2 linked regions of the Drosophila melanogaster genome follow. The protein of the gene in region 1 interacts with the protein of each later gene in a pairwise test. Each region holds a gene or a part of one and is shown in the gene's direction. Other genes may lie near its edges.

Evidence for each region.
Region 2: the proteins of robl (region 1) and CG13074 interact in a two-hybrid assay, tested with the Drosophila melanogaster proteins (2 studies listed by BioGRID).

Annotation. Positions count from the first base shown.
Region 1 is NT_033778.4:17,453,968-17,458,345, forward strand, and holds robl (roadblock), read left to right. Parts: upstream 1-2,504; 5' UTR 2,505-2,603; coding exon 2,604-2,606; intron 2,607-2,669; coding exon 2,670-2,748; intron 2,749-2,816; coding exon 2,817-3,028; 3' UTR 3,029-3,162; downstream 3,163-4,378. Other genes in the region: CG10764 (uncharacterized protein), read left to right, coding at 62-207, 260-865, 942-990, 1,086-1,222, 1,281-1,657; robls54B (roadblock similar 54B), read right to left, coding at 1,797-2,111, 2,171-2,194.
Region 2 is NT_037436.4:16,094,448-16,099,319, reverse strand, and holds CG13074 (uncharacterized protein), read left to right. Parts: upstream 1-1,826; 5' UTR 1,827-1,830; coding exon 1,831-2,654; intron 2,655-2,727; coding exon 2,728-3,004; intron 3,005-3,064; coding exon 3,065-3,258; exon of another isoform or gene 3,259-3,263; intron 3,264-3,316; exon of another isoform or gene 3,317-3,318; coding exon 3,319-3,379; 3' UTR 3,380-3,552; downstream 3,553-4,872. Other genes in the region: ATPsynbetaL (ATP synthase, beta subunit-like), read right to left, coding at 1-771, 928-1,322, 1,386-1,416; ClC-c (chloride channel-c), read right to left, coding at 4,124-4,214, 4,278-4,491, 4,550-4,713, 4,772-4,872.

The DNA of each region.
Region 1 (4,378 bases):
TTCGTGCTTACGCGGTTAATTTAAAAACGAATATATAAATATGTGGATTTATGAAATACAGATACGTGAGGTTGGGGGCACGCAACATAAATGAGCCCGCTGCTGTCCACACAGTCATTAATGTCTTTGTGCACCATGACTTCATTGCATCGGAATACCGAAATGATATAGGACTGCTTCAACTGTCGGAGAGTATCGTCTACACAGGTATGTATGCAATTTAACCACCGTAGCCCCATTTCAATGCATTTCTTCGCAGTTCGAGTTCAACCAATTTGCATCTTTTTGGATCCGGCTCTCAAAGGGAGTGTTGAAAAATTGAAAACGTTCAGAGCCCTTGGCTGGGGAAATAGGAACGGAAAATTGAGCATAATGTTGCAAACCATCTATCTTCTACACTTGAAAAGAAATGAGTGCAAACGCAAATTGAACTTTAATCTCAATTCAAGACAGATTTGCGCTGGAACCAAAAATGGAGACACCTGTAGAGGCGATTCTGGGGGTCCCTTGTCCACGAATATATTGTTTCCTTCCAATAAAAGTTATGAGGTGCAGTTAGGAATCGTAAGCTTTGGGGATCCAGAATGCCGTGGAGTAGGAGTCTATACCGACGTGACCAGCTATGTGGATTGGATCTCATCGACAATAGCTAGAAATGACTACCTACCAATCGGCGTGTCCGGGGGAGACATTGCCATGGGCAATCCCATTGCTCCTGACGCTAATCGGCACTGGACTCCTGCGGCTTCACCACCACTTCCTTCGATGTTGTACAATAGCTGCAGTCAGGATATCGCGGCACCGATCGCGCAGCTAAGAATTTATTGGCCTGGTTCTTATGCCGTTGGCGTATTAATAACAGATCGTAAGTATACTCTTTCACTCGAGAATTCCACAATTAAATGAGTATAAATTTAACAAGATTGAGTTTCTTTTCTTAGAATTGATCATCGCTGCTGCCACAGACCTGCCCACAGTTGCCGCCTATTTGTAAGTTGTTCGAAGGATTATCCCTTGTGCATTAACTGCTATTTTTCACATTAGTTACTAGTTTATTTTGATACCATTTTAAATTAATTATTCAGATACGTGTTCGTAGTGCTCGAAGGAATAAGCGCAATCAACCAAATTGAATCGGTTTCAAAGCACCCAAATTTTACTACGAATGATTACCGAAATGACATAGCAGTACTCAAACTTGTTCGATCAATAAGCAGCACAGGTAGAACATACCTACTATCATAGCAATTGCCTCGATTTACAGTTATATTCTTTTACAGCAATGAAACCCATCTGCATTTTGACAACGCAAATATACCAGCAAAACGCCGAAAAGGCTCGAGAATTGAAAATAATTGATACAGATTTAGCTGAACAATTCGACGTCAGGCTAATGGAAGGGAGCCAATGCGCGAAACATCTCGGATTTCAAATCAACGAAAATCAAGTGTGCATGGTAGATCCATCCGACACAAGTAATCCCCGCCAGAAACGTAGCTACATAGTGGTTGGAGGGATGAATGCCAATGGCCAGATACGCTACATTTTGGTGGGCATTTTCAGTTTTTCATCGAAAAACATACTCGTTTTTACGAATGTTATGAGGCACACGGATTGGATTCTTTCCTTGCTATATTCGTTAAATACGTCATCTTAAAATATTTAAATGCCTTAAAAATGTAAAAGCACGTGTAAATACCAATTACTGACATACGAGTGATTGGTACATGTTTTAATAATAAAGTAACATACGCTAACGAATAAGAAATTGTCTTTGAGAAATCTAAAATATTTAATCATTTTTCGAAGTAATCATGCGCGTTCTGTACTACGAGTAGTGTTATCTTGGAGTCTGGCACCAGGAGCACCTCGTTGGTTCTTGTGCGTATTCTCAGCATTAGTAGTTCGTCCGTGGGATCTATTTTACTCATACCGCGTTCCAGTCTTCCTCGAATAGCCTGAAAAGGTCCCGAAAATTGGACAGCATCCTCTCGGTCCATCGTACTCATCACCGGATGTCCCGACTCGTTGAGGATCACTACATCTCGAACATGTTTTTTCGATTTGACCAGGTCGAATGCTTTTTCCACATATCGTAGAGTTCGAGGTGGCTATTTAATGATGTAACCTATAAATAAATATAATTACATTCAATATGGAAATATTTTACCTTTTGTGGAAGATCCGGAAACATATTTCTCGTCTGCTTTGAAACACCTTGAACTTCGTAGTAACGGTTTCGTGAATTTTTAACCTAATTTTTTTTGTTTTCTTGGTTTCCAAGGTGCGTGTTGCTATATGGGTCAATATGCCAGATTAAACAATTCTGTGTAGTTGTTATTAATGTATTGTTAGTAAATAATAAACTTATTAAATTATTCAATCACAAATATTTTGATAATTACCGTTGCAAATTTTTTTCTCATTGAAAACTTCATATCGATATTTTCTGTTAACTTATGTGGAAATCTGTTAAATTAACAATGAACAATGTGCCATCACTGACAGTGCATCTCTAATATTGAACAAACAAAGTTTACTATTTCATTGAACTGCAGGTAGCGGTAGTGTCTGCCGTGTTTCCAACAAAATTATAAGAAAAAATGGTAAGTAAGAGTTGTGCATACACAAAAACATTAAGAAAATAACGTTACCTTCATGGCTTACAGTCGCAGGAGGTTGAGGAAACACTCAAGAGAATCCAGAGCCACAAAGGTGTTGTGGGTACAATTGTGGTCAACAATGAAGGTGGGTGGTTCAACTGCACCCCAGTGTGTGCTAAGATATCTAACTAATTCTCAACGCCTCCCAAATAGGTATTCCGGTCAAATCCACGCTGGACAACACTACCACCGTTCAGTACGCTGGCCTAATGAGTCAGCTGGCGGACAAGGCACGAAGTGTGGTGAGGGACTTGGATCCTTCCAACGACATGACATTCCTGCGGGTGCGATCCAAGAAGCACGAGATCATGGTGGCACCCGACAAGGACTTCATCCTGATTGTCATCCAAAACCCAACCGACTAAATGGCATGGTGCATCGCGACTATTGCTGAATTATCTGCACATTTATATCTGTATTCTAATCATCAGCGTATAAATGGAAAGTTAAATTATAATGTAATGAAATTGTACTCCATACAATAAATATATTTATGCATAAAATGACATCACGTAAACATTTTGGGCTCTGTAAACTTCAGGTGTTTTCAGCTGTTAGTCCGCTATAACTATTGATAGGGGCATTCATTCTTTATTTTCAAAAACTGAAATATGCGTTCTCTAATTGAAACAAATGACTCCAAAAGATAAATTTATTTTAACGCTAATTCTAACACGAACAATTAATTATTATAATATTATTATAATTATTGAAGTTGTTTGATGTTTGGGTAGTTGGTTTAAGCATCCGCTTCACCGACGTATTTATCGAATACTTTCGAAGCGAGAGATATGTATTCTCTTGTTACCTTTGAAATTGTTTCCGTTGCTATTAGGTGAACATTTATGTTATGTTGGCAATTAAAGACTACCACGGCTTGTACATAATTGGAAAGATTACAATAATTACAACGGTGTGGTAATTATATCCTTTAAAAACCATATGCAGGGACAGAAGGTATCGAATATGTATAAAATAACTTCGATAGTAGCAAAGTCCCAGACTATCGATGTTTGGCCATCGTCGTTGCACGCCACGGTCACACTGATGCAAAGTCGAGGAAGACGGATTCGTGTGTCGGTGAAAACCCGTGAGTTTTGCGTACTTGCATTTAAAGAAAACCCCTCAACGGAATAGTCAATAAATTGATTGGAGAGCCCAATCAGCCACCGTTTCGACCCAGTGTACGCGTGTGCAGCGAGTTAAGAGATCCACCGATCGATCAAATCGTATTGAAAAAAGGTAATTCGAAAGATGGGCGTGCAGCGAAAAGCGAACGAGTAAAGAAAATGGCGTAATCACGCACTTCGAAACCCAAAAGGCAGCCAGCAAACGCAACGCAAACGGAATCCAAATCCACGAACCCTCAATCGGCCAGTCAGCATTACTTTGGGTGAAAAAACGAGCTATATGAACGTGAAAAAAGTGAATAAAAAACGTAAAAAAAATGTGCTGCAGCCATATTTGTTCCGTGAAAATGAAAACGATACACACACACACACGGGCAAAGTCGAGTGTATATAGTCGTCGGTGCATATATATCTGTCTATACATATGTGCTAAGAATTAACTAAATAAAATGAAGCACTTCGTATCGGATCGTCATCGCACCGTTTCGTTGTTCGCAATTTCATTTCATTTCCAACGCGATTCTCGTTCAACGTACGTTGGTACATAGCCTGCCGTACATACATACGTACTTATGTATGTACACA
Region 2 (4,872 bases), on another chromosome or scaffold:
AGTGATGGAACCGTTGCGGGTACTAGTGATCCGTTCCTGCATGGTGCCCATGTCGGTTCCTAAGGTAGGCTGATAGCCCACCGCCGAGGGAATGCGCCCGAGCAAAGCCGACACCTCCGATCCCGCCTGGGTGAAACGGAAAATGTTGTCAATGAAGAGCAGCACATCCTGCCCGTCCACGTCGCGGAAATATTCGGCGATGGTCAGTCCGGTGAGCACCACACGGGAGCGAGCGCCCGGGGGCTCGTTCATCTGGCCAAAGACCAGAACCACCTTCGAGGAGTCATCCTCCAGGGAGATGACCTTGGACTCGATCATCTCGTGGTACAGATCGTTGCCCTCGCGGGTACGCTCTCCTGCGCCCACGAACACGGAGTAGCCGCCATGGGACTTGGCTATGTTATTGATCAGCTCCATAATGAGCACCGTCTTGCCCACGCCGGCGCCTCCAAACAGCCCGATCTTACCGCCCTTTACGTAAGGAGCCAGCAAATCAATCACCTTGATGCCAGTGACTAGGATCTCTGGCTTCACGCTCAAGTCGGTCAGCTCCGGGGCTTCGTTATGGATAAAGGAGTAGAAATCCGACTTGACCTCACCGCGATCGTCAATGGGATCGCCCACCACGTTGAGGATGCGTCCCAAAACGGCCTTGCCCACCGCCACACGGATGGGATAGCCGGTATCGAGGACCGGCTGACCACGACGCAGTCCTTCGGTGGAATCCATGGCCACGCAACGGACGATATTGTTGCCCAGATGGTGGAATACCTAAGAAATCGATTAATAGAAGTTAAGTTTAATAATTTTTAAAACTTTTCGAATCTTTAGAAGTTATGTTAAAATCCGTTTTAAAATTTTAATTAAATATTAGATAATATAATATGAATGTCGTCCGTCTTAAAATTGGTTAATCCTTTGACTTACCTCCAGCACTAGGTTAGCAATGGGAGCATCCTGCACCTGGAGCGCGTTGAGCACCTCCGGAACCTCCTCCTCGAAGTAGACATCGATGACGGGACCGATGACAGCATGGATGACACCCTTGCGACCCTTGCTCTCCAGCTTCTTGCCTCCGCCGTCGGACTTCTTTTCCTCACACTCATCCTCGGCTTCATCCTTCTTCTTAACCAGTTCCGCGTCCGTCTTGCAGACTTCCTGCGGCTCGGGCTCGCACTCATCGCCCGACTTTTTCTTATCCTTGTCATCCCAAAGGGACAGGGAGGCATGAAGGTAGCGGGGAAACACCACAGGATTACCAAGATAGTTGCCCCGGTAACCCCCGGTACCCGGGCCCATCTTCAGGCCAATCCTTGCACATGCTAACATGGTTTTTTTCATTTTCAGAGGAAGCTGGTCATGTGAAATAGGTTCATTCTTCTTACCTGTAGCCATTTTAGCCCATGATACCAACATTTTTACTTTAGTTTTTTATTCTTTCGCTGCTTGGACGTCTTTGCTGCAAATAAAACTTGCTTGTAATGATAGATTCCTTTGACAGATGACAGCAATGCCTACTATAAAGGATTCCCTTAATGCACTTTAAATGGGTTGTCACCTATTTATTTTTTAGGGATATTTGCTTTCTAAAACTTCTTAAAAGTTTGCAATATAAATCCTAAAGTTTTCTTAATTAATTAATTAATATAATATGATTTCTTATATTTTAATTTATTTTCAGGCTGCATTAGATTAAGCTTGGATTCATAATCGATCCTCAGATATGTTTTCCTTTAGCTCTATTTTAGGGTTGAGTCAGTTGGTTTCCAAGGATACCGATAGCCACAAAGCTCTGAAGCCAAAACAGTAAGGTTTTCAAGCTGATGGAAAATGGACGTACTATCGCATTACAGCTCACCCATAGTTGAATTTCCGGCCACGCAGCCTTTGGAGAAGCAGCATGCCCTGGTGGACAACTGTACGGGCACCGATCCACCTCCTCCCAGCCAAGATGCCGCCACAGGAACGCAGGAGAAGCTGCATGTGGCCACACAAACAGAGCAACGAGTAGTTAGTAGTAAGGATGTGGAATACGATGAGAGGGCTTTGGCGAAGTGGTTGCGACAGATCTGCCCCATGGTCGAACGGGAGCTAATGAATCCCACGCCTCTGATGGAGGATCTAACGATGAGCCAGTGCCGCTTGGAGGAGAAACTGCAGGTGTACACGTACCAGAAACTGATAATGGGTGGTGCAGAAAACTCGCAAGGACTGGCTATCTGGCTGTGTGTGCATACGAATAACGCCCCAGTTCTGGTGGCCACCACTGTAGCTCCCCATGATGACTGGTGCGAGCATGTGGATCAGCAGCTAAAACTCTTTGTTCCCCAAAGAATGTCCGTTGGCAACTTGGTGATTTATACAGAGGCCAAAACTCTACCCCTAAAATCCTGTTTGCGAAGTCTGTGCACAAATCCGTTCAACAAGACCATGTTCGCTGGTTCGACCATGGACGGAGAGCTCTTCATCTGGTTATATGAGCAGGCGAGGGGTTCCGATTCCAGCGTCGATATCAAACAGCTATACAGTGTATCCTCCACCCAGGGAGCTGCAGTGGCTCTGGACTGGCCGCGGGAACATCTTCTGTTGGCCTGCTTTGCCAATGGCAGCGTTCGCCAGTGGGATTTAAGCAGGCAGATGGCTCTGGATTGGGAGTGAGTCTCTCTAAACACTAAACGAAACATTTCCCGGCATTAATCTTAAATATTATTTAATTAACTTCTCCAGATACACCCTGCCCGCAACGGTTAGCTCAGAGCCTACGGCAATGGTGACCCTTGGTCTGGATGACTTCGTCGTGGGCACTAACGATGGTGGCGTCTATCGCTGCTGGAACACCGGCCGGCAAACCGCAGCCATCAAGCAGATCAAATTGTTGGCCCTACGGCGACATCGATTCATGGTTTCCACCCTCCTCCGTACCGAAATGGAGGGCAACCTGTTCGTCCTGAGCTGCGATCTCAGTGGACAGGCCTTTTATCACGATATGCGGCTTGTGGATGAGGTGATAACATGACAAACAAACGAGCTGAACACTATTTATTTTCTCTTAAATAATGAACAGGACATGGCTCAGTTGATAGTACAAATTCCACTTCCCTTTAAAAACGTAATCGCCTGTAGTCGGGATGGCAACATCATCTTTTGCCCAGCCAATGATGGGTCACTGGAATACTATAGGGTGAGCGATGGAGCCCATGCCCATGTCAAGGGAGGACTTCGCGGCAAGGGAAGCCTTATCCGTAGTAGCGACAATGGGTGAGCTAATAACGAAGGAAATCAATAAAACAACAAATTTGAATAATAATTATCTTACAGACGCTGGTTAATTGCAGGCCTCTATGGCGACGAGTTCCAGATATTCTACGTAGAACACTAAATAGTCGTATTGAATTTTGTTCTCAGTTTTGAAATAATCGCTTGTATTTGCATGACTGCTTATGTTAATATGTACGGTTTTATCTTCTCTTAGGTTTGGTATATACACAATTTTATTTTAAAATTTCTCAGATCTCTAACAAATACCACATGTAAATATAGACTATGTATTGTATAAACAAGACATTTTATCTGTGTAGAATTTTGAACAAAATGCAAAAACGTAAAGCCATTTCGAAAATTTGGCGTAAAATAAGACTGCATTCTCTGTGGGAATCTCGTTAAAACCGCGTTTTCACATACGATTCACAAAATAAAATGTTCCTTTTACAACTATAGATCATTTCATAGTGTTATCAAGCTGTATGTGAACATATAAAAAGAAATATGCTGTGTGTAGAAAAGTGCTAGAATGACATAATTACAAAATGGCAATAAATGAATACACTAAACTTTTATAACCATTTGCCTACAGTAAAATAAATTATACAATTAACATTAACGAGATATATGCGATATATAAATATATAATAGAACTGCACACAATTTTGCTAAATCTCTCACGTCCGAACGTCCGATCCTATCTGTCCTAATCACGCGATTCCACTCTAATCCATTTCAGTCCACTTTGCATCCACTCGTTCAACTTTTCACTTAAGCTTAGATTGCAATCTGCATTTTGCACATAGTTCACATAATAATAACTAGAAGCAGCGCTCGCCCAACTTCTGATTGGCTGATAAATTCAGTTGAAGAGCACCGTATTGGGATCTTCGTTATCCATCTGCTTCACATGGCGCAGCACATCTTTCTTTGTAATTACGCCCAGTAGGCGACTGCAATGGAATTTGGATTAGATAACTTGAAACTGGTTAAACTGCTTCTGGCCACAAACTCACCCGTTGTGTGTTACCAATGTTTGGCGCAGTCCCAGCTTTCGGAACATGTCCACTACCGTCTCCATTGGCGTTTGATCTGTAACTGTGATCGGTGCCATATCCAGGATCTTTTTCAGCTTCAGCGGCTGGGGTCCCAGATTTTGAATAGGCTGGGATGATGTGAATAATACTATGGAGCTGCTGCTAATGCCCTCGATTAGACGCTTGGCATTGCCTATAAAATTTGTAATATTTAATTATGCAACATGATCTCGAAACAAGTTGTGACTGACCTATGGCCAAGTTAAGATCCCTGCGCAATACAAAGCCCACTAAATATTGATTCTCCCGCGACACCACCACCGGATAGCCATTGTGTTCCGTTTCTTTAAGAAGGTTCTCAACATCGTCCACCGTCATGGAGTCTTGGGTAATGACATTCAAAGTTTCATTCCGCCTAAAATGAAGTTTTTGTTAGATGATCTTGAGGAAAAAAAGGTTTTCTTTATACATACTTTGGTTGCATCACATCTGCGGCCAGTGTTGTATGCGCAAACTCTTCTTTGCTGTCTAGGAACGGATAACCATTCAGCGCAATGTGCGCATCGTAGATACC